2 linked regions of the Diceros bicornis minor genome follow. The protein of the gene in region 2 interacts with the protein of the main gene of each other region in a pairwise test. Links are inferred from orthologs where the notes say so. Each region holds a gene or a part of one and is shown on either strand. Other genes may lie near its edges.

Region 1 (9,186 bases), about 18 Mb from region 2:
ACACGGAGACAGCTGGGGCGTTACCTGGTTCAGAGTCCCTTGGTGCTGGGGTGCCGATGGCTGCTGGGGTGTGGCTGAGCCGTAGGAGCCGGCTATCCCGTACTGGGAGGGGGAGCCGTAGCTCTGGTACATGCTCTGCCAAAGGCACAGGAAGGAGGGTTAGGGGCAGGCCCAATTCCTGCCGTAAGGTCTAGGCCTGCCCCCTTCTCCTGCCACTCAGGAGCCATACACAACTTGTGACTCTCCACTCATCTCTCACCCCTCTTTCTCCCTCCACCGCATAAATGCATCAAATTATCTTATATTAAAAAAATTAGTAAATAAAATGAAAACTGCTATCAATTCCATACCCCACTTCCACTAGTTTTTAGAAGTTTCTCTCTATTCAACAAATATCTACTGAGTGCCAACTCTTCTATGCACTACAATAGAACAAAATATAAAAGACTAAACCTGTGCTCTAACAAGTTTGCACTCAAAACCTAGGCTCAGTCGTAGACAAACACGTAACACATCCAGCGGCAAGTAAAAGAAGGCCAAATAAAGACAGAGACAACAGGGTGAGCGGGGGACAGCCCTGTACATGACTAAGTTTGCCAGAGGAAAGGGCTCTCTGAAGGTGACATCTGGGCAGCCCTCCAGGAGGCGGGGACACAGGGCGCCGTGGGAACAGGGGAAGAGAGCTGCAGCAGAGCAGAGCAGAGTGTGAGTGGACCTGGTGTGTGCAGAGATGGAGGAGGTCTCTGTGGCAACTGTCAGCGAGCATGCGGGGAAAGGTGGCCAGAACCAGGTAACGTGGGACTTGGCGGGCCACAGGCAGGACCGGGGATTTATCTCGTGGGCAATAAGCTAGTGGAGGGCTTTTCAGCGGTTGTCACTGCTGACTTCAACCCACTAACTACTCTGGACCCATCCTGACTGAGCCCAGCTCCTCACCCACCCATCCCTGCCGGGCTGGGCACCTACCATGGGGTAGTAGTAGCTGTAAGGGTAGGCGTAGTTGTACTGCTGGTACCACTGGTAGTACTGCTGCTGCTGCAGGGCCGAGGCTTCTGCCTGTGACACGTACTGTGGGAAGAGAGGCCCACACGCCATCAGCGTTGGCAGCAGGAACCCACGGGCCCCACAGCCCCCACAAGGGCAGGCTGACTTTCTGGTGGTCAACTGCCGGAGTGGAACTGGGTCCACATCTCTCCACAGAGAGCCACTGCCTCTACCTCGGACTCGGGGCACTGAAGGCACGCCTCGCTCTTCAGGTTAGGTTCCCAGGGGCAAGGACCACATGGTACCTCCGACTCTTCAAGGAAACAGACCTGCTTCCCCTACCCGAAAGCTCCTACAATCTCTTCAGAGCACTGTGTCCAGTGATACAAAGACACCACATGTGTGCCTCCCCCAGCAGCCCCCCGTGCAGCGTGCCCAGGCCCGTGCGGCCCTCTCACTTGTGCGCTGGTCACCGGCCCATTGCTGCTGGCCTTGGCAGAGCTGCCAGCAGCTCCTGCTTTGCTGATGCTGGCCAGGGCCTGGCGGGCCTTCTCCCACTCTGGGTTCTCGTGCATGGGCGTCTCCATGCCGTTCTCTCTGCCCGCCCCCGCCACCATGCTGTACTGGGAGGACCTGCAGAGAGAGGACGTCGAGTCAGTCTCCTCTCCCCACTGCACACAGTGGGCAAGACGGAGGCAGGGAAATACCAGAGCTCAAATCCCGGATCTCCCTCTCTCCATCTATAAGAGCCTAGATTTCCTAATCTATGGTAATGCTGACAATTAGTTTCTGCTTCAGTTTTCTGAGGGATAAATGAGACTACCTACCTAAGGTACTTTTCCAGGTGCCTGATACATAGCTGTTAAAAATCAAACAGGGGGCCAGCCCCGTGGCGTAGCGGTTAAGTGCGCGCGCTCTGCTGCTGGCTGCCCGGGTTTGGATCCCGGGTGCGCACCGAGAGGCACCACTTGTCAAGCCATGCTGTGGCGGCATCCCATATAAAGTGGAGGAAGATGGGCATGGATGTTAGCCCAGGGCCAGTCTTCCTCAGCAAAAAGAGGAAGATTGGCATGGATATTAGCTCAGGGCTGATCTTCCTCAATCAGTCAATAAAAATCAAACAAATGAAAAAATTACCAGTGTCCACAGAAGTAAACATGGAACCTGGCGCCTAAGAGGTGTAAATGTTTTATGAATCAAAGAATTCCGTTTGACGCTACCCCAGCCAGCAGGTAATTATCACAATGCGGTGGAAAAAACAAGCAATTAACAAAAAGATAAATGCTTGAGTATTAAGTGTTGGAGACCGCCTCCAATCATAGTTCATGAATGAATCATCACAATCTTGTGAAACAAGCACTGCACTGTGAAATATGAAAGTTCAGAGAGGTGAAGACCCAACCCTCTTCACACTATGACCACATGCTTCCTTTTATGCTTGAGGCCAGAGGAGGGCGTCATCCCCACCGCTGCCCACAGGGACTGCTGCATCACTTCCCCCACGCTGTTGTGGGAGGGCCATCCCAGAGGACAACACTGGCTCTCACGTCCTCTCGCCCTCCCCTCCAGCTTCTGTCCCACTAGCCCCACTAACCAATCTGTGCTCCGTTGATCACCCACGTTGGCCGCCATCTGGACCTTGGGGTGTAAGGGGTGGACCTCGGGAGCCAGACTGCTTTTTCACTGTCTACGAGAAAAAGAAAAGAGTTAGGGAGACTCAAGAAGGAGCAAGAGACATGTCACAAAAACAGGAAGAGAAGTGGATGGACTCAGAGGAGCTAGGCAGAAAGGGGGAGTCTGAGAAAGAAGGAGCCACTGGGGTAAAAAATCTGAAGAGAATTCTGGGTGTCAATTAAAAGGGCTACAGTAAGAGGGCAAGACCTTGGCCTCCCTGCAGTGCTCTAGGTGGGAAATGAAGGATCTGAAAACAGGGATGTCTGAAGGAATTTCCCAAAGGGAAGGAGAAGGATCTGAAACACATAGGAGGAAGGGGAAGGTGGTTCAAGGGAAACTCTGAGACAGATAAGAGGGAGGTCCAGAGGGTAGGCTGGGGGGACCTCAGTCAAGGGGTAAGGAGTCCAAGAGGAATTCCAGAGAGGAAGCAGAAGAAAGAGGACGCCCTGATGAGCAAAGCCTGAGTGAACTCCTAAGGCTGGCGGACGCTGAAAGGTTTCTGAGGGGAACTCTGTAAAGAGGGAAGGGTTTGAGGGAGCCTTGAGAGAAGAGAATACCAGAGAACAGAAAAAGAAATCAAAGGAAAAGGGGATTTCTATAAGTTACTCCTGGAAACAGGGAGAAGTTGAGGGTGCCCAAGGGGAACCCCGCAGTGAAGAAATGGGTTCTTGAAAAGCTTTTAAGAGACTAATTACAGGAAGGTCCCCTAAGGGCACAGAAGAACCCTACATGGCAGGTTCCTAAAAGGAGGGGTAGGCCCAGGAAGGAGAAGAGGCAGCCCCGCGATTGGGGGTCTGGAAAGTAAGCTTCAGGGATGCCTGAAGAGATCCAGAACATCTTTAGGAGGTTGAGACGGGGGTGGAGAGGACTGCAAGAAAGTGAAGGGGTGTCTTGGAGGCAAAGACTGAGGGGCCTGAACTTGGGGGGATAACTGAGAAGTATGGGTGGGCTCCAAGGCGAGTCTCACTGGAGAACCTGAAAATCGTAGAAGTGAGGGAGCAGGAACAGAAGTCTGGAGCTGGGAACAGCCCTAGAAAAGAAAGGCCTTAAAGAGTAAACAAGAGGACGGGGGAGGGTAGGAAATAGGGGAGGAAGGCCTGCAGTGAGCGTCCTGGCGAGTCTGAAGGGTGGAGGCAGGAACCGGACGCGAGGCCGGGGAGGCGAGGGGCACTTGGCCGCCCCGCAGGCCCGGAGAACGCAGAGCAGGGGCACCGGCTGCAGGAAGAGCCCACCTCGGCCCCCGCGACTGGCTCCGGAGCCACCGCCCCGGGGAAAAAGCCGGCGCAGGAGCCGCCCGTCGCCCGGGACAACGCCGCCCCGCGGCTGGAATCGCGCGGTCAATGGGTGTTGAGGGCGGGGGCGCGCGGGCCCCGGAATTCCGAGGGCGGGGTCGGCAGCCGGGCCCACGGCGCAGGCGCGCGGGTGCGCAGGCGCAGTGGCCGCTCCGGCCCGCCACACCCTGTCGCCGCTCGCGCGCGGCGTCCGCTGCTGCGACAGCCGCCGAGGCCTCCGGGCCCGCGCGGAGTAATGCCGAAAGGAGACGCCGACCACGCCCGCCCGCCGGCCCGCAGCTCCCCACACCCACCTCGGCCGATCGCCCCGGGAATCGTCAGCAGCGGCCCAAAGCGAGAGCAACACGGCCGCGAGAGTGCTCCCGACCCGGCTGGCTCTTGTCTTCCTAGGGCTCCGAAGTCCCGACCGCGGCGTGATGACGTCACACGGAGGCCTCGCCCCGCCTCCCTCCCGCCGCACAGCCAATGGCCGCCGCAACCTTGATCTGAGCCCGTTCCCCCCCCCCCCCGCCTACGCAATGACGCGGTGGGCACTTTAAAGGCAAGCCGGAAACGGGGCGGGGGGATGGTGGCCCCGAGGGGACAGGCGCCGCAGGCTTGTAGGACCCTGCGCCCTTCCGCGCAGCCGTGTGGGGCCTCGGTTCGCGGTAGCCTTGCTTATCTCTAGGTGTAGACTAGGGTGATGAGAGTTGTAAAACTACCCACCGTACAGTGCTGCGGAAGGCCCGGGGAAGACAATGAACTCAGAGAAAGGGGGTGAGAACAGTCTCCCCTTGGAAAGGGGAGCTTCCCTACTAGATAAAACGGGGAAGGCGCACCCGGCGGAGGGAACGGCCTGGTGAAACACTCAGAGGCGGGAAACAAGGGTAGGTCGGGGAGAATGCTCGGAGCAGGTATAGGATGGAAGTGTGTGGCCTCCTGGCGTGAAGAGCTAGGCCAGTAGCAGATCCTGAAAGTCTAAGGAGTTTGGCCTTCCTTTAAACTCCTTGCAAGTCACCTTTTGAGCATGCCATCTGTTTCCATGCAGGACTCGGGCTGATAAAATTATCCAGTCCAGTTCAGGGAGCGGTCACTGGAGTCGCAGTAGGTGATAGAACAGTATTTCAGAGGCCAGTTCCTTCCCACTTTCTGTTACTATAGACTTTTCTCTTGGTGTATGTATCATTTTGTTACTGTTAGCATATGATGAATAACCAAAAAGCAGTAAGATACATTGGAGTATGTGAGGAAGCCGTTTGGTTTAAAACTAATCCAGCCTGACCTTGTTTTTCCAGAAAGGGTTGACCTGGCCTGTCGACTATGCGTTGTCCATCTGTTTTGAACATTTACAATGACCCAAAGCGGAGAATGATGCCCTTGAAGATAGGGATATTGCCTCCCCTCATATCAGTATTTCTTTCAAGATAAGCATTTCTTCCTAGAAATTAAGGGTTAATTACTATCCTGCTTTAGCTCATCTCATTACCGTCGACCTGCTGTGCTAGCAAGTATCCTGTGACTGTAGTAAAAGATATTCCTGGCATAACTGATGTATATTCCTTGTTCCAAAAGAGTCTATAACCACTCTGTATACCCCGCTGCTTCAGAGAGCTTTCTTCCTTGGTGAAGGTACTCTCCCCGGCTATGTGATCCTCAGGACTGGCTCATCATAAACTCACCCCCATTTGATTTATAGATTGATTACCGATTATTTGCATCGACACATAGTTGACCTTTTTCCATTCTTTTACTTTTTATTATTAAACTTTTTGTTTTAGAATAATTTTAAACTTACAAAAAAGCTGCAGAGATAGTTCAAGGTCCCACGTACCCTACACCCAGTTTCCCCTAATGCTGTCATCTCACTTTACTGTGGTATGTTTGTTAGAAGGAAGAAACCAACATTGGCACGTGACTATTAACTAAACTGCAGGCTTTATCTGAATTTCACCACTTTTTCCACTGACGTCTCCTTTATGTGCCAGAGTCCAGTCCAGGGTACCCCACTGCATTTAGCATCCATGTACATTTCAGGGTTATATTTAAGGGGGTTTTCATGTAGACGGCATATAGCTGGATCTTTCTTTTTACTCAAATGTACAATCTCTGCGTTTTAAAAGAGGTGCTTATAACTGTACTTTTGGTGTGACTATTGGTTTGGTTCCCTTTAAACTCATCATCTTGCCATCGAGTTTCTATTTGTTCCATCTTTCTTTATTCCCCTTTTCCTCTTTTTCTGCCTTCTTTTGCTTTGAGCATTTTTTTAAAAATAGACTTTATTTTTTAGAGCAGTTTTAGGTGGGGCCTTTGGGAGGTGCTCTGCCTCGGGGCCCCTCCCCTGCACTGTGGTGGGAAACTCTCTTCTGACAGACTGGTGATTTCAGGGATCACCTTGATATTTCCCATCTCTCAGGGACCACTCTCCCTCCTTGCCTGATGTCCCGAGTCTTGAGCACCGTTCTTTCACGAATTTTGCCTGGCTTTTTGGTTGTCTCAGGAAGGAGAGCAGATCCAGTCCCTTTTAGTCTATCTTGGTCAGAAGTGGGAGTCCTCATAGGTATCATTTAAAAATAAATGATAGATTTTAAATTTATAGATTTACTTTGGTAAAGATTGGGCAAATGTCCTTTTTTCTTGGGTAAAGCTTCCTGATTAAAGATCACTGGAAGGCCAGCTGGCAGGAAATCACGCGGCCTGAACCTCAAGGGTACTTTGCGAAATCCAACACATCGCGCTGGACTCAGAGTCACTAGGGGGCAGTGTTTGAGAGCAAAACAGCCAGACTAGCAGCAGGGCTGGCCCCAGGGTCAGCTCACCGGGTCTTGAGAAGCAAGTGAGTCAACACAGGTGGCCCCCAGAGCCCTTCACAGGAAATTATAGTCCATTTCTCTTTCCTAGCTTCAGGGCCACACACTGAAAGCTCTCTTGAACACTCCTTGCAGTGCACAGGATGGAAATGATTAGCAAGCACAGAGCGGTTCCCCCATGGCAGGCCCTATGCTGGATACCCGCATCTGACACTCAGCCAACCAGCCCTCACCCGAAACCCTCAGGGCCATATATGTGTCTTGGGGCTCCAGGATTTTTCAAAGTTTTGAGAGACAACATGGTTTATGTTCCATGTGGCACACCACATCCACAGCACCCTTCACAGCACTTGGAAGTAACCCCATCAGTTTCTGCAGGGAAACAGATGAACATTCACACCAGGCAGGGAGATAGTCTGGAAGTCACCTCATGCCAGGTCGGGTCAGGTCCTGCTGCCCAGGGAGTTAAGGGAGGACGTTTGGTCTAACACAGCTCTTTGGATTTCAGAACTGCAGAGGAGGGACGGGGGAGCTGTCTTTCATGACCCATCTGATGGCTGAGGCAGCTGAGGTCCAACAGGTCAGGTGACTGCCCACGGCCAACTGGTGGTAAAGAGCAGGCAGGGCTTAACCACGGCCTCCTCTGTGTTTGTCTGCTCTGCTGCTATTGTCACACCCACCTCAAATCCCTCCTCTCTCAGGCTTTCCCTGAAATCCCAGGCCCAGCCAGGAGCTGTCGTGTTCTGGAGAGCCCTGCTGTAGGGTGACTTATCAGACATGTCGTCTTTCTGTGGACTTTAGTTTCCAGAGTTTAGCTGATGGTTGCAGCAAACAGTCCTTGACATATGTCCTCAGATGCCTCTGCTTTCTTTCCATAAATTGATTCCCAAAAGTAGGACTGCCGGCTCAAGGGTCTATACAGTTTGATTTTATCACACAGGAGCAGATTATTTCTTTCGTGTTGCAGTTCACAGCCTCGGGAGCAGGGCGTTTGGGTGCCTGGTTCCTCCACATCCTTGCCAGCATGGAATGTTAGTGCTCCTTTAATTTCGTGATAACTAGGTGGTGGAAAAAAAAGTTTGTGGTTGTTTCAAATTGCACTTCCTAATTATTATGGTTTGAATGGTTTTTCGTTTTCACTGGTGATGGGATTTTCACTTCATTGAATGTCTATCTTAGTTGCTTATTTTTAAGTTGGGTTGTATTTTTCTTAGTTTGTGGAAGCTTTGTAGATTATATTTATATATTAAGAATTATATATTTCTTTGCCATATATGTTAAAAAAACCCACAATTTTCCCCAGACTATCAATTTGCCTCTTGACAGCATTTTTTTCGTTCCACAATTTGTCAAATGTTACCTTTTCCTTTTCGGCTTTAGGATATCTTGCTTAAAATCCTCCCCCTCCAAGCAAGATATACAATATACAGAATTCTCCTACTTTCTCTTGAAATGCTTCCATCCCTTTACTTGTATACACTTAGATTTTTCACCCATCTCGTATGTATTTCCAGACAGAGAGCCAGTTAAGTCAGCAGTGCTTCGAAACCAAACGGTCCTTCTCACCCTGACCTGCAGTCTGTCTTCTGTCATCTATACAAACACTGAGATCTATTACCAGGCTATCTATTCTGTTCCAGGGATGTCCACCTCGTCCTGTGTCAGGACACATGTACTGCTTTTAAAACCAGAGAAAAAAAGTTATTTTTTTTTTTAAAAAGAACAATCCCTTTGGAACCGCCGCAAAGCCTGGACAGGAGCAGAAACACCGGCAGCCAGGAGGCTGAGGGGAAGGGATCTCCCCGGACCTAACTAGGAGGCCAGAACCAGGAGGGGACAAATAAGAAGGACCCAGATCCTTGTAAAATAAAGTCTTCCCTTTTATTTCAAACCAACCCATTCCCAAGTTAGTGCCACAAGTTGAGATCAAGGGCCCTAAGCCCACTGGGGCACCGCAGGGGCGGGGGCACTCGTGTCCCTTCAAGGATGGGCCTGGCGGCCAGGGGTGAGGGGGTGTGAGGCTGGCTGGCTGCCCCTCCCTGGCCAGTCCGGGGCCCTGGCTGCCCCCTCAGCTTACTCCCAAGGGTTAGGACACAAAGAGGGGGGCAGGACAGGGGAGCAGTCCTATTTGGGGTGTCCGTGGCCAGCGGCGTTGTTAGTGGTGGGAGCCCAGTTGGGCTGGGTTAGTGGGGTCTTCTCCAGCAGCCAGGGAAGGAACTGCAGAGAGAGGCAGAGACAGGGCACCAGATGCAGGTGGGAGGGCCACCACCGTGCCCAGAGTGAGGGAGAGGAGGGCAGAGGCCGGCTTTGGGAGCTGGGGTGTCGCTCTGGCAGCTCACCGGAGGTGGGGGGTAGGCTGCAGTCTGGCATGGAGGAGGGGCTCAGATAGACGACTGCCACTGCACAAAGCGCTTGGATTCCTGCTGGGGAGATTTGGGTGAGAGGGGACA
Region 2 (10,586 bases):
AAAGACCCACGGGTGACTAGAGGCCTTGGTATGGTTGAGCTCCCGTTTTCAGAGGAAAGTGTAGCCCAGAAGAGAAACCATCAGCCAACGGACAGCCTACCCAGAATGCCGTGGGTCAGGAATCCCTCAAGAGGCAGCAACACCAGCAGCAGCCAAGAACCACTCAAGTGGTCGTGTGCATCCTCTGTAAGAGGCGGGCAGTAACGATACCTACCCCACAGGACTGCCGTATGAGGAACGACTCACACATACAAAGGCCACATAGCAACTGCTCCATAAATGCGTCACATACTTCTTTTTTTTTGTGAGGAAGACCAGCCCTGAGCTAACATCCCATGCCAATCCTCCTCTTTTTGCTGAGGAAGACTGGCCCTGGGCTAACATCCGTGCCCACCTTCCTCTACTTTATATGGGACGCCGCCCTAGCACGGCTTGACAAGCGGTGCATCGGTGTGTGCCCAGGATCCGAACCCGGGCCGCCAGCAACGGAGTGCGCACACTTAACTGCTACACCACGGGGCCGGCCCCCATCATATACTTCTTTTCATCGTCCACAGCACCTTGACACAGGCCTGGGTGATGTTGCCCTGGCTGACTTCTCCAACCTCATCTCTCTCCACGTTCCATCTCACTCCCGTATCTCCAGCCACACTGGCCTCCCAGCCCATTCTCAGGCCCAACACACCAATTTCTGCCTCAGGACCTTTGCACTGGCTGCTCCCTCTACCAAGAACACCTTTCTCCTGATGTGTACATGGCTGCCTCCTTCTAGTCACCCAGGTCTCAGCAGAAATGTTGCCACTTCAGAGGCCTTGCCTGACCACATGTCTAAAGAAATGCGCCTTCATGTGACTCTTCCCCCTCCTCGTACCCCACCTGCTTTTCCTTCATGGCATTTTCCACCTCCTAACATGTCTGTTTACTTGATGTCTGGCTCTCCTTCTGAAGAGCTACAAGCCTGTCCCATTTGTTGACCGCAGTATCGCCATGCTTAGTACAGATTCCAGCACACAAATTTCTCCACAAACATTTACATGGAAAAAGATATCATTAAGTGTTTTATGGAAATAACTTCATTAAATTCTCACAACTCCACGAGTAGCAACTACAACTGTCTCAATTTCACAAACATGGAAACAGGCTCCCAGAGGATTTGTCACTGGCCCAGGACAAGTGTCCTGAGGGTGGTGGGAAAGCCCTGCAGAGCTGGCACCAGGACCAGGTCCATCTGAACCCAGTACCACCACACCTCACTAGCAAAATGCCTCATCACTTGACAGCAAGGAGGAGTCAAGCTCCACCAAGGGAAGACCTCTCACCACCCAAGCAGGAAAAGGGTACCCATCTTATGCAAAGAAGGTACCTCAGCTGAAGATTTTTGGTGAAACGGGTTCTAGGGCAGGGAAGAAGAAAATGTGTGTGTGGGGGCGAGTGAGTCTGAGGGGAAATAATTAACCAAAAATTCTCCTGGTGCTATTTCTGGTTTTTGTCTCCATCCCCCATCCCCGTGACCCCAGCTGGGGCCACAGTCATTCCACTGGACCCTGGGCTCTCCCCAGGCTCCTCTCTTGCCCACTCACGTTCACCCTCCACACCTGGAAGCTCTTTCACAACTGACTGCATCTGTTGCCTGGCTCCCTGAGGCCCTCAGGACGAAGTCCAACGCCTCACCCGGCCCACAAGGCCCCATGAGCCATCAGAGCACTGCTCACTGGAAGCTTCTCCTCTAGGCCTCAGGCACACAAAATTACCCATAGTTCCCAGAATGCCCCAGCTCTCTTTGGCCCCTAGATATTTGCACATGCTGGTCCAGGTTAGGAACACTCTTCCCACTCATCATCACACAAATACTGATTCCTACCTGGAAGACCTTTCCAAAATGTCTCCTTCTCTATGAAACTGAATGAATCTCTCTTTCTAGGTGCCCAATCCCAGCCCTGACCGCTCGGCCTGTGCTTCCCCAGTCATGGCCCTGGCTCCTCTGGGCTACCACTGTCTGGTAGCGGGTCTGTCACCCACACTGGACTGTGGCTCCATGAAGGCAGGACCAGGACTGCACCAGGCACCAATGTGTCCCCAGCACCGCAGGGTGCTGGCTGGGCATGATGCTTTAAAGCACGTGGGGGATTTACGTGACTTACTTTGTTTTCAACAGCAACTTGATCAGTAACCTCAAACTTCGTCCCAGTAAGCTCCTTTGGTTCTGCCAGCAATTTTCTTGAGGTGACAGTGAGAGCTAACATTTATCAGACTCCTACTAACTGCCAGGTACCATAAAAACAAGCACTGGGGGCCAGCCTGGTGGCATAGTGGTTAAGTTCACACACTCCGCATCAGCGGCCCGGGGTTCACGGGTTCAGATCCCGAGTGTGGACCTACACACCACTCATCAAGCCATGCTGTGGCAGGCGTCCCACGTACAAAATAGAGAAAGATGGGCACAGTTAGTTCAGGGACAATCTTCCTCACCAAAAAAAGAAAAAAAATAACCACTGCATGGAGGTTTAGCTAATTCAAGCCCCGTAACATCCGTGCAAAGAAGGAATTATAATTTTGCCCAGTTTTCAAATACCGAAAATGAAGTTCAATAAAGGTAGTAACTTGCTGAAGAAAATGGGAGAGTACATCAGATGTCAAGAATGGCGTTCTCCAGCAGAATTCCACACCAGTGGCCTCAACCACTTTTCCTTGCTGTGTGACCTTGGACAAGTCACATCACTGCTGAGTCTCAGTTTCCTCATGTGAGAAACGGGAATAACAGCTCCTTCCTGCAGGGCTGTTGTGAAAATTACACGTGATCAAGATTTATACATCAGAGGCTGCTTGGTGGCGTGGTGGTGAAGTTCACACCCTCCACTCCGGCGGCCCAGAGTTCGTAGGATTGGATTCCAGGCCCAGACCTGTGCACCGCTCATCACGCCACGCTGTGGCGGCGTCCCATGTAAAGTAGAGGAAGACGGGCACGGATGCTAGCCCAGGGCCAATCTTCTTCAGGGAAACAAAAGAGGAGGATTGGCAACAGATGTTAGTTCAGGGCTAATCTTCCTCACCACAAAAAAAAGATTCATACATCAGTGCCTCGTATAGAGTGTTAACCATCATTATTTATTCATTTCACTTTCTTTTTTTTTCAATTGACGTCTGTCATTTTCATTTTGAAATGAAACACGTTCACTGGGGACTGATCACTGAGAACACGACAGTGACCAAGACAGTCCCAGTTCTAACCCTCAGGGAGCTCAAAGGCCAGCGGAGGGACAGCCCCATGACAGCCTAGAAGGATCAGGGCTTGAGGAGGGGATGTCTAGGGCCCGTGGGAAGTCAGAGGCAGGCACCTGAGGGGAAAGGGGATGGGCACGGCTTCCTGGAGGAGGGGTCCTGTGAGCTGAAACCTGGAAGGACGAGCAACAGTGACCAGGTTACCGCGCGGAGCGGGAGATGAGCTGAGGAGCGTTAAAGACAGCGGAAGCAGCACGTGCAAAGGCCGAGGGGTCAACTCTAACAGTTTGGCTGGAGGAAGCTCAGGAAAGGAAGTAGATACTGGGGATGGAAGAGGCGGCCAGCTCCTGCGGGACAGCATGGAGTCAGAACTATTCCGAGAACTCACCATCCTTCTTGATCTTCTCGTTGAGGTTGTTGATATAAATAGTGTGGTTGGGACGGGTCTCGGGAACTGCCATGGAGTGAGGTAGGGCTAAAAGAAGGAAAAAGATAACTTCAGCCCTGGCTTTCTCCAAATCCTTTGTCCCAGCGCGGGCTTAACGGGCTGATTATGGATCTTCCTTCCAGGAGGAAGGCAGGTCACGTAGGTAGAAGAGAAGAGAGAGGCAAAGCCGGGGAAACAAAGCCAACGCAGCACGCGGCTTCTCCTCCTCGCGTGTGAGGGAAATCTCGAGAGGTTTACTACCAGTCCCAGGATGCTCTACGCGACCCAGTAGGCGGAGCGTACTAAGTGGCGATTCCCATTGGCCCACGCACTCAAAGGGCGGCCCAGGAGAAAAAACCCGGATGTAAGAGCCAGTTAAGGAAGGAGGGACGACTTTGCGGCGCCCTGGCCTCGCGCAGTGGGAAAATAATTTCCCCACACGAGGTGCGAGAAGGCTCGGACGCCAAGCGATACGCCCGCCCGGCGTCAATGGCCGCCTGCGCCCGAGATTACTTACAAACAGAGCCACAGCTCCCGCAAGTGCTGCCTGCTACGCTTCTGAGTGCCGACCACAAAGCTGCCTCTCCTGGCCCCGCCTCTGTCTTTCTGCAAGCCAATCCCCGCGCGGAAATTCGGTAGCTTGACCAATCAGAGTAAGTCCCGCCCCTGGGCCAGATCTTGCCAATCAAAACGGCACTTAGGTTCCCGCCTCGGCAGGAACACCCCGCCCACTCCCCGCAAACCCTCCGCTTGCTGCGGCGCCTGAGGCTCCGGACCAATCAATGAAGGCTGCGCCCGCTCACGCGCTTCTTGCCAATCGGGACGCGGCTCGTGCTGCAATCTCTTCCGGAGACAGTCCTTTGGCAGCCCCAACCTCCCCTCCGCCGCGCCTTCTCTGTCACGTGATCGCTAAAGGGGCGGGCACGAGTTGCGAGTCCTACCACGTGACATGTGAAAGGTTGTGAGCTGCGGCCGCCATTTTGTGGGGTTGCGGAGGCGCCTTTTACGTCCTGGCTTCATTCTCTACCCCAACGGTATCGTGGCTCCCAGCGCTCTCCGATTTCTGAGCCTTCCCCAGCCCGCAAGACTTTGTTTTTTTGCGCTCTGATTCTAGGACATTCTCCACAAGTAGGCTCTTTTTCCTGCCAGGTGTCCTTTTGACCTCTTGACGTCTGGCTCAAAGGTCAGCTCCAAGTTTCTGAACTCGGGCCTGCAGTGTGAGGGGTTACAGAGCGTGAATAACCCAGTCTTCAGCCCTGGGCTTCTAAATCCCACGGCTTAGGCGCCTCACCCCAGGTCTGAGCCTTCATATCCCAAAATTGATCCTGAAGTTTCCAAATCTAGTCCCGGATTAGTTAACTCCTACTAAATCGCCCTCCTTGAGCCTTGCAACCCAACCGGATAGCACAAATCTAGCTCCGGATTAAAGGACCCTGCCCTGTTAACCCTCAGATCCCTCCTGATTTGAGTCAGCCTCCTCCCTGCTCCCATGGTTCCAAATTTTACCATGGTTCTTTCAATGATGGCTCGGCCACTAAATTCTGGGACTCAGCTCTAAAACCTTCAGAATCTCCATCCCTGAGACCAACTCATTTTGGAGGATCGTTCTCTCTCCCATTCTTGACTTCCAGCCTATGCCATAGACTCTCAAATGATTTCTCCGTGTTCTCCTCCCCTAGAGCCACCAGCCCCTCCTCCAAGACCCCCTGCACCCCAGGCCCCCATCATTCCACCTCCTCCGCTACCCCCACATCTCCCCGACTTAGCTTTTCCACCCCCTTCCTTGAGTCTTGAGGCCCCTATTCCCCCACCACCCCCACTGCCACCTCCACCCCCTGCCACAGGGGTTGCTCCCCCTCATGTCTACGGCCTGGAGAAGAGCCGGCTCCTGAAGGAGGCCTTGGAGAAGGCTGGCCCAGTCCCCAGGAGCAGAGAGGATGTGAAGAGGCTGCTGAAGCTGCACAAGGAGCGGTAGGGTCCCTGTGCCCCACCCCACCCCCCCGGGGCCTCACTGAACCACCTGTCCCCAGAGCACTTCAGCCATCTCCTCTGGGAGGTTTCTCGTTTCCTCAACGTCAAACAGCCTGACTGCTTCAGCCCCCTACTTAGACCGCTACAGCAGTGGTGTGCCTTCAGCCCTGAAGAAAGATCCTGCCCCCACAAGTGTTGCCACCCAAGGGGGTAGGGGTCGGGGGGGGGGGGGGGGGGGGGGGCGTGGCGTCTGCCCACCGCAAGACGTGCCAGTAGTCAAGAGGCAAGGAGGTAGGAGAGAAAGGACTTTTCATTACAGCTTGCTAGCAAGGGGGAACATGGCGACTAATGTCCAAAAGAACCATCTTACGGAAAAAGGACTACAGGCCAGTTATCTATGGGGCTGGTCTCCAGGTGGGGGAGGCATCTGATAGTCTTTGTTTTACTAGATACGGGTCAGAGAGCTGAGCAGGGTGTTATACCCTGATCTTTCAGTTGTCATTGATGATGGCAGTCAGCATAGACTCTCTGCCCAGGGGTCACCACATTCCTAAGGGACTCAGAAGAATAAAGTTATCCATGTAAAGCAGTTGGAAGGGGCCATAAAATCTACAGAGTATGTCTGGGTTAGTTAATGGAAGGTCGTTCAAAGTTACAATATGGGTTCTTTTCTTCAATATGGCTTCCTTATGTCAACCTTGGGTTGAACTGGTATCACAAGCATCTAGTCCAGTGAGACAGATCCCTCCCTCCACCAGAGAGTGACAGCCCAGAGCAGTCAAAACTCTGGGCACCCAGAGGGAGTGCCCAACCCAGGCTGGGGGTGAGGGGGACCTGCTTGGAGAATGGGACCCCTGAGAGCTGTTGAGCAAGTCCTGCAGGGCTGTGTCACGAGAGTAAGCAGCTTGTGCCGAGACTAGAGTGAAAGGAAGACATGTTCTTGTAAAGGCCCTGCAAATGTTTCTCTAAGGGGACAGGGGAAGTGGCAAAGATGGGGTTTCACAGGTGGGCAGGGCATGGGGGCCCATGTGAAGGAAAGTGGACTGTCCTGAGGGCACTAGGGAGCCGTGGAAGGGCTTTGTGCAGGGAGGGAGGCGACTGCGGGGAGTGGAGGTGGTGAGACTGGAACCTGGGGACCCAGCAGGAAGCTGGAGCACCAAGGGACCCAGGCGGGAGGGGAGGGGCTAGACTTGGGCTCGGGCTGTGGGGACCCGGTTTACCAATTGTCTGGCTGAGTGAGAGAGGGAGAAGTGATTTGCCCAGACTCCAAGAGGAAACTTCCAGCTCTCCAAATGAGTTGATAATCTGCCCTAAATGCCCCAACCATAGTGAGGCAAATTTGATGCAAATAACAATACCCGTTATGCCTGCCTAGCATGTGTCAGGCAGTGTTCTACGTGTTTTTAAGTACTTATTTAAACCGCTCAGCAGCTCATGCAATGGGAACTATTATCCCATTTTCCAGATGAGAAAACTGAGGCTCATAGAAGTGAAATCACTTAGCCACAGTGCCTAGAAGAGAAAGAGCCCAATTTGAACTCAGGCAACGGGGCTCCATGCTCTTAATCATGTGCCGTGATAGCACCTGCTTTATCAGGAGGGTGGGGTGCCCCCCCAGCCTTGCCCTTTCACTGGCCTTCTAATAGAAATACAAGCACTTGGCCCTCCCCCTCCTGAGCCCTGGAGGGAGTGGGATTGGCATCACCAGAGCTGTTGGCAGGCCTCCCCAAGGGTGGGGCTGGGCGGGCCTGCAAGGGCTCATTATGAAGGTGATCTCTAGGCCTGGAGCATGTTGTTACCTGGTTTTACTCAAGGCTGAATTAAGGAATTTTCACCTTATATAAGATATTTCTGTGGTTCCTGGTTGCAAACCTTCGCCCCTTCGGTAACTGAGAGAAGGAGCAGGGAGCAGCAGGTGGAAGGATGATTCCCATTGAGCAGATGAGGAAACTGAGGCTCGGGACGGGAAGTCCCTCATCTGGGGTGAAGGAAGTCAGTGACAGAACCAGGAGTGGCCCTCGGGCTTCAGGACAGCCAGGCCTGTGTTCCTCCTCATCACCGTCCCTTGACACCCCACTCCTGGCCAGACCTCAAGGCGGGGGTCTAGGAGCTAGTTCCCACGTGACCTGAGTGTGGCTCTGATTCAGTTTCAGGAGTGACCTGCGGTGGATCCTCTTCTGTGCGGAGCTGCCCTCCCTCATCCAAGAAGGCCCTCAGTACGTGCCCTGATGCGGAACTCCAGCCCCCTGGCCGGCCAGGCATTCCGAGCCCCTGCCTTTGCTGGGCTTCGTGAGGATTGACCCAGGAGGGTGGGAGGAGTGGGAGGAGGCAGGCTGGGGAGGTGGGGGGGCGGGAAGGGGAACTTACCAAGTTGAGGTCCTGGGTGCATGCGCAGTAGACAGAGTTGGCACCAATGAGCAGGTGAGTGAATGAATGAACCTGGTCCCTCATCTCTAACTCCACTTTTGCACCTACTCCTCTTTGAAGCCCAGGTGACGTCTGTGCCCACCCTCTCACCCCACCTCCAGCCCTCCAGCCCTGGGCTCAGGCCTTGGCCATCCTCTCTCTCATGAAAGGGAGTCAGGTGTCCCCACCCGGCCTGAGAGAGGGGAGGGGAACTTCCCCAGGGCAGCAAACCTGTTACCCAAACTTCAGCTTCTGGGGCAAAGGAGTGCCCAGTAAAGACATGACTCAGGTTGAGGGGCTGGGCCTGGCTCTCCCCAGGTGTGGGCTGGTGGCCTTGTGGATGGCAGGCACTCTCCTGGCGCCCCCCAGCGGTGTCCCCCTGGAGAGACTCGTGCACATGGCTGTGGAGAGAGGCTACACGGCCCAGGGAGAGATGTTCTCTGGTGAGTTGGGTGCAGAAGGGTTGCAAGTCAGGTGTTCTTCACCAGCAGGGGACTGGAGAGGCTGGGTGGGACACTGCCAGGTGCATGAGGGGAACTTATTCTGTTCCTCAGGCCCGTCTCCCCACCCGGTAGAGCAGAGTATTACAAGGTAGACTTGAGCCAGGCTGCCTGGGTTCCCAGCCAGCTCTGCTACCCCCTACTGTGTGGCCCTGGCCAAGCAGCTTACCCTCTTGGAGCCTCATTTTCTTCGTTTGTACAAAGAGGTGATGGTCATGGTGGGAGCTAGAGGCTCGATCCCCAGAGAGCCCTTGGCACGGTCCCAGGCACACAGTGATGCCTTGCTCTGTGTCTGCTCTGTCTGCAGTGGCCAACGTGGGCAGGCTGGCCCGGGAGGCGCTGGGCTGCCAGGCTGAGCTGCTTTCTGGAGGCCTGGGCGGTCCCAACAGAGACCGTGTCCTGCAGCACCTTGTCGCTGGAAATCCCTTGCTCATCCCGTATCCCAAGGCCGGGAAGAGAGCAGGGTGGGGATGGAGAAGGGTGGGTCCCAGGGCCACACCACAGCTTTGGCCTTAACCCCAGCACCAGCTACGATGAGGACTTCAACCACGAGCCGTGTCAGAGAAAGGGCTACAAGGCCCACTGGGCAGTGAGCGCAGGTGGGTCGCCCCCTGCACCCCTGAGCCCTCACGCTGGATCTCCCCAGCCCCCCGTCACCCCCCCTCACAGTTTCACCCTTGCACTGGCACCTCCCCAGTCCCCTCGAGGCGAGGACAAGGGCTGGGCCATCCCTGTCCCCAGAGGGTACTTAGCAGGGACCTGGCAGACAGCAGGTGCCTCAGTGTCTGCCAGTGGGGGTTTCCATGCACAAGCTCAGAGTGCAGACTTTAGGATCGGACAGTCTGGGCTCCAGGCCCGGTCCAGCCACTCCCAGGCTCTGCTCTGGGCTTCCATTTCTCCATCTGGAAATCAAGGTGACAGTAGCACCCACTGACAGGGCTGCTTTACAGGCTGAGCACATAGAACTCGTACAACAGGGCTTGGCACGTTACACGTCTCAGTGTTGGCTGTGATGAGCGTTGTCATCATTCCACCTGCCTGAAAGAAGGATGGATTTGCGGGTGTCAGGTGGCCTGGATTGAGGCTCCACTTGGGCCCCTCGTGGGTCTGTGGCCTGGAGGGCTCCTCCCTGAGTATCTCTTTGTGATGCAAATGGCTGTTTGCTCTTTTTAGCGCCGCCTCCCAGCTCCCTGTGCTGACAGGCTGGAGGAGGCAGGACTTGCCTGCAGCTGTGGAGCCAGACACCCTGGGTGCAGATCTCAGCCCTGCCTGTGGTCCCTGCTGACGTCTCTGTACCGTGGGGATAGAGGCAGCACCTACCCTGGAGGGCTGTGGGGTGCACTCAGTGAGCCCCAGCACCTCGTCAGGGCTCAGCTCCCACTCACAGCCTCCCCCTCTCCTCCCAGGGGTCCTGCTGGGCGTGCAGCATGTGCCAAGTCTCGGCTATGCCGAGGACCCCGAGCTGCCAGGCCTGTTCCACCCAGTGCCTCACACGCCCCGCCAGCCACCATCCCTGCCGGAGGAAGACTCGCCAGGAGTCGTCTACCTTCTCTCCAAGCAGGGCAAGAGTTGGCACTACCAGCTGTGGGACTACGACCAAGTCCGGGATAGCAACCTGCAGCTGACGGACTTCTCGCCCTCGAGGGCCGCTGATGGCCGGGAGTATGTGGTGCCTGCTGGTGGGGTGCGGGCCGGCCTCTGTGGACAGGCCCTGCTCCTCAGACCACAGGACTCTAGCCACTAGCCTGCTGCGGCCCTGAGCTGTGGGACTGGGTCTGGGCCACAGCCTGGCTCTGTCACCATTTGAAAAACGCCCCCGTTTCTCCTTTTGTGCAACAGCCCAAGGGTTTGGGTTGGATCTCTGAGGACCTCCAGCCAGAGGTCTTTCATGCAGGGTCCACCCCAGTGCATCCAGTCCCAATCCTGGGTATTGTCCCAACTCCTCTGCCCCCAAGCCCATCCCCCCAGTATTGAGCACCTACTCTGTGGGCCGGGGTTAGAACCAGAAGCCTCATAGACAAGCTCCCTCTCTCCAGGGGAGACTGACAGCAGCTCAGACCCAA

What was found. The genes of interacting proteins can lie anywhere in the genome.
Region 1: the proteins of SNRPA (region 2) and LENG8 interact in binary tests that used the Homo sapiens proteins (3 or more experiments, as listed by UniProt). The two-hybrid records come from large-scale screens. The link is inferred for Diceros bicornis minor from reciprocal best matches to the Homo sapiens genes SNRPA and LENG8.

The regions. Positions count from the first base shown.
Region 1 is NC_080773.1:32,059,390-32,068,575, forward strand, and holds the start of LENG8 (leukocyte receptor cluster member 8), read right to left. Parts: upstream 4,347-9,186; 5' UTR 4,244-4,346; intron 2,672-4,243; 5' UTR 2,617-2,671; coding exon 2,579-2,616; intron 1,618-2,578; coding exon 1,443-1,617; intron 1,069-1,442; coding exon 967-1,068; intron 136-966; coding exon 25-135; intron 1-24. Other genes in the region: TTYH1 (protein tweety homolog 1), read right to left, coding at 8,920-8,953, 9,076-9,156.
Region 2 is NC_080773.1:14,227,252-14,237,837, reverse strand, and holds the start of SNRPA (U1 small nuclear ribonucleoprotein A), read right to left. Parts: upstream 4,259-10,586; 5' UTR 4,164-4,258; exon of another isoform or gene 4,152-4,163; intron 3,828-4,151; exon of another isoform or gene 3,695-3,827; 5' UTR 3,681-3,694; coding exon 3,608-3,680; intron 1-3,607. Other genes in the region: ACTMAP (actin maturation protease), read left to right, coding at 5,298-5,617, 7,765-7,833, 8,342-8,466, 8,831-8,960, 9,052-9,122, 9,930-10,267. UniProt on the Homo sapiens protein: Component of the spliceosomal U1 snRNP, which is essential for recognition of the pre-mRNA 5' splice-site and the subsequent assembly of the spliceosome. U1 snRNP is the first snRNP to interact with pre-mRNA.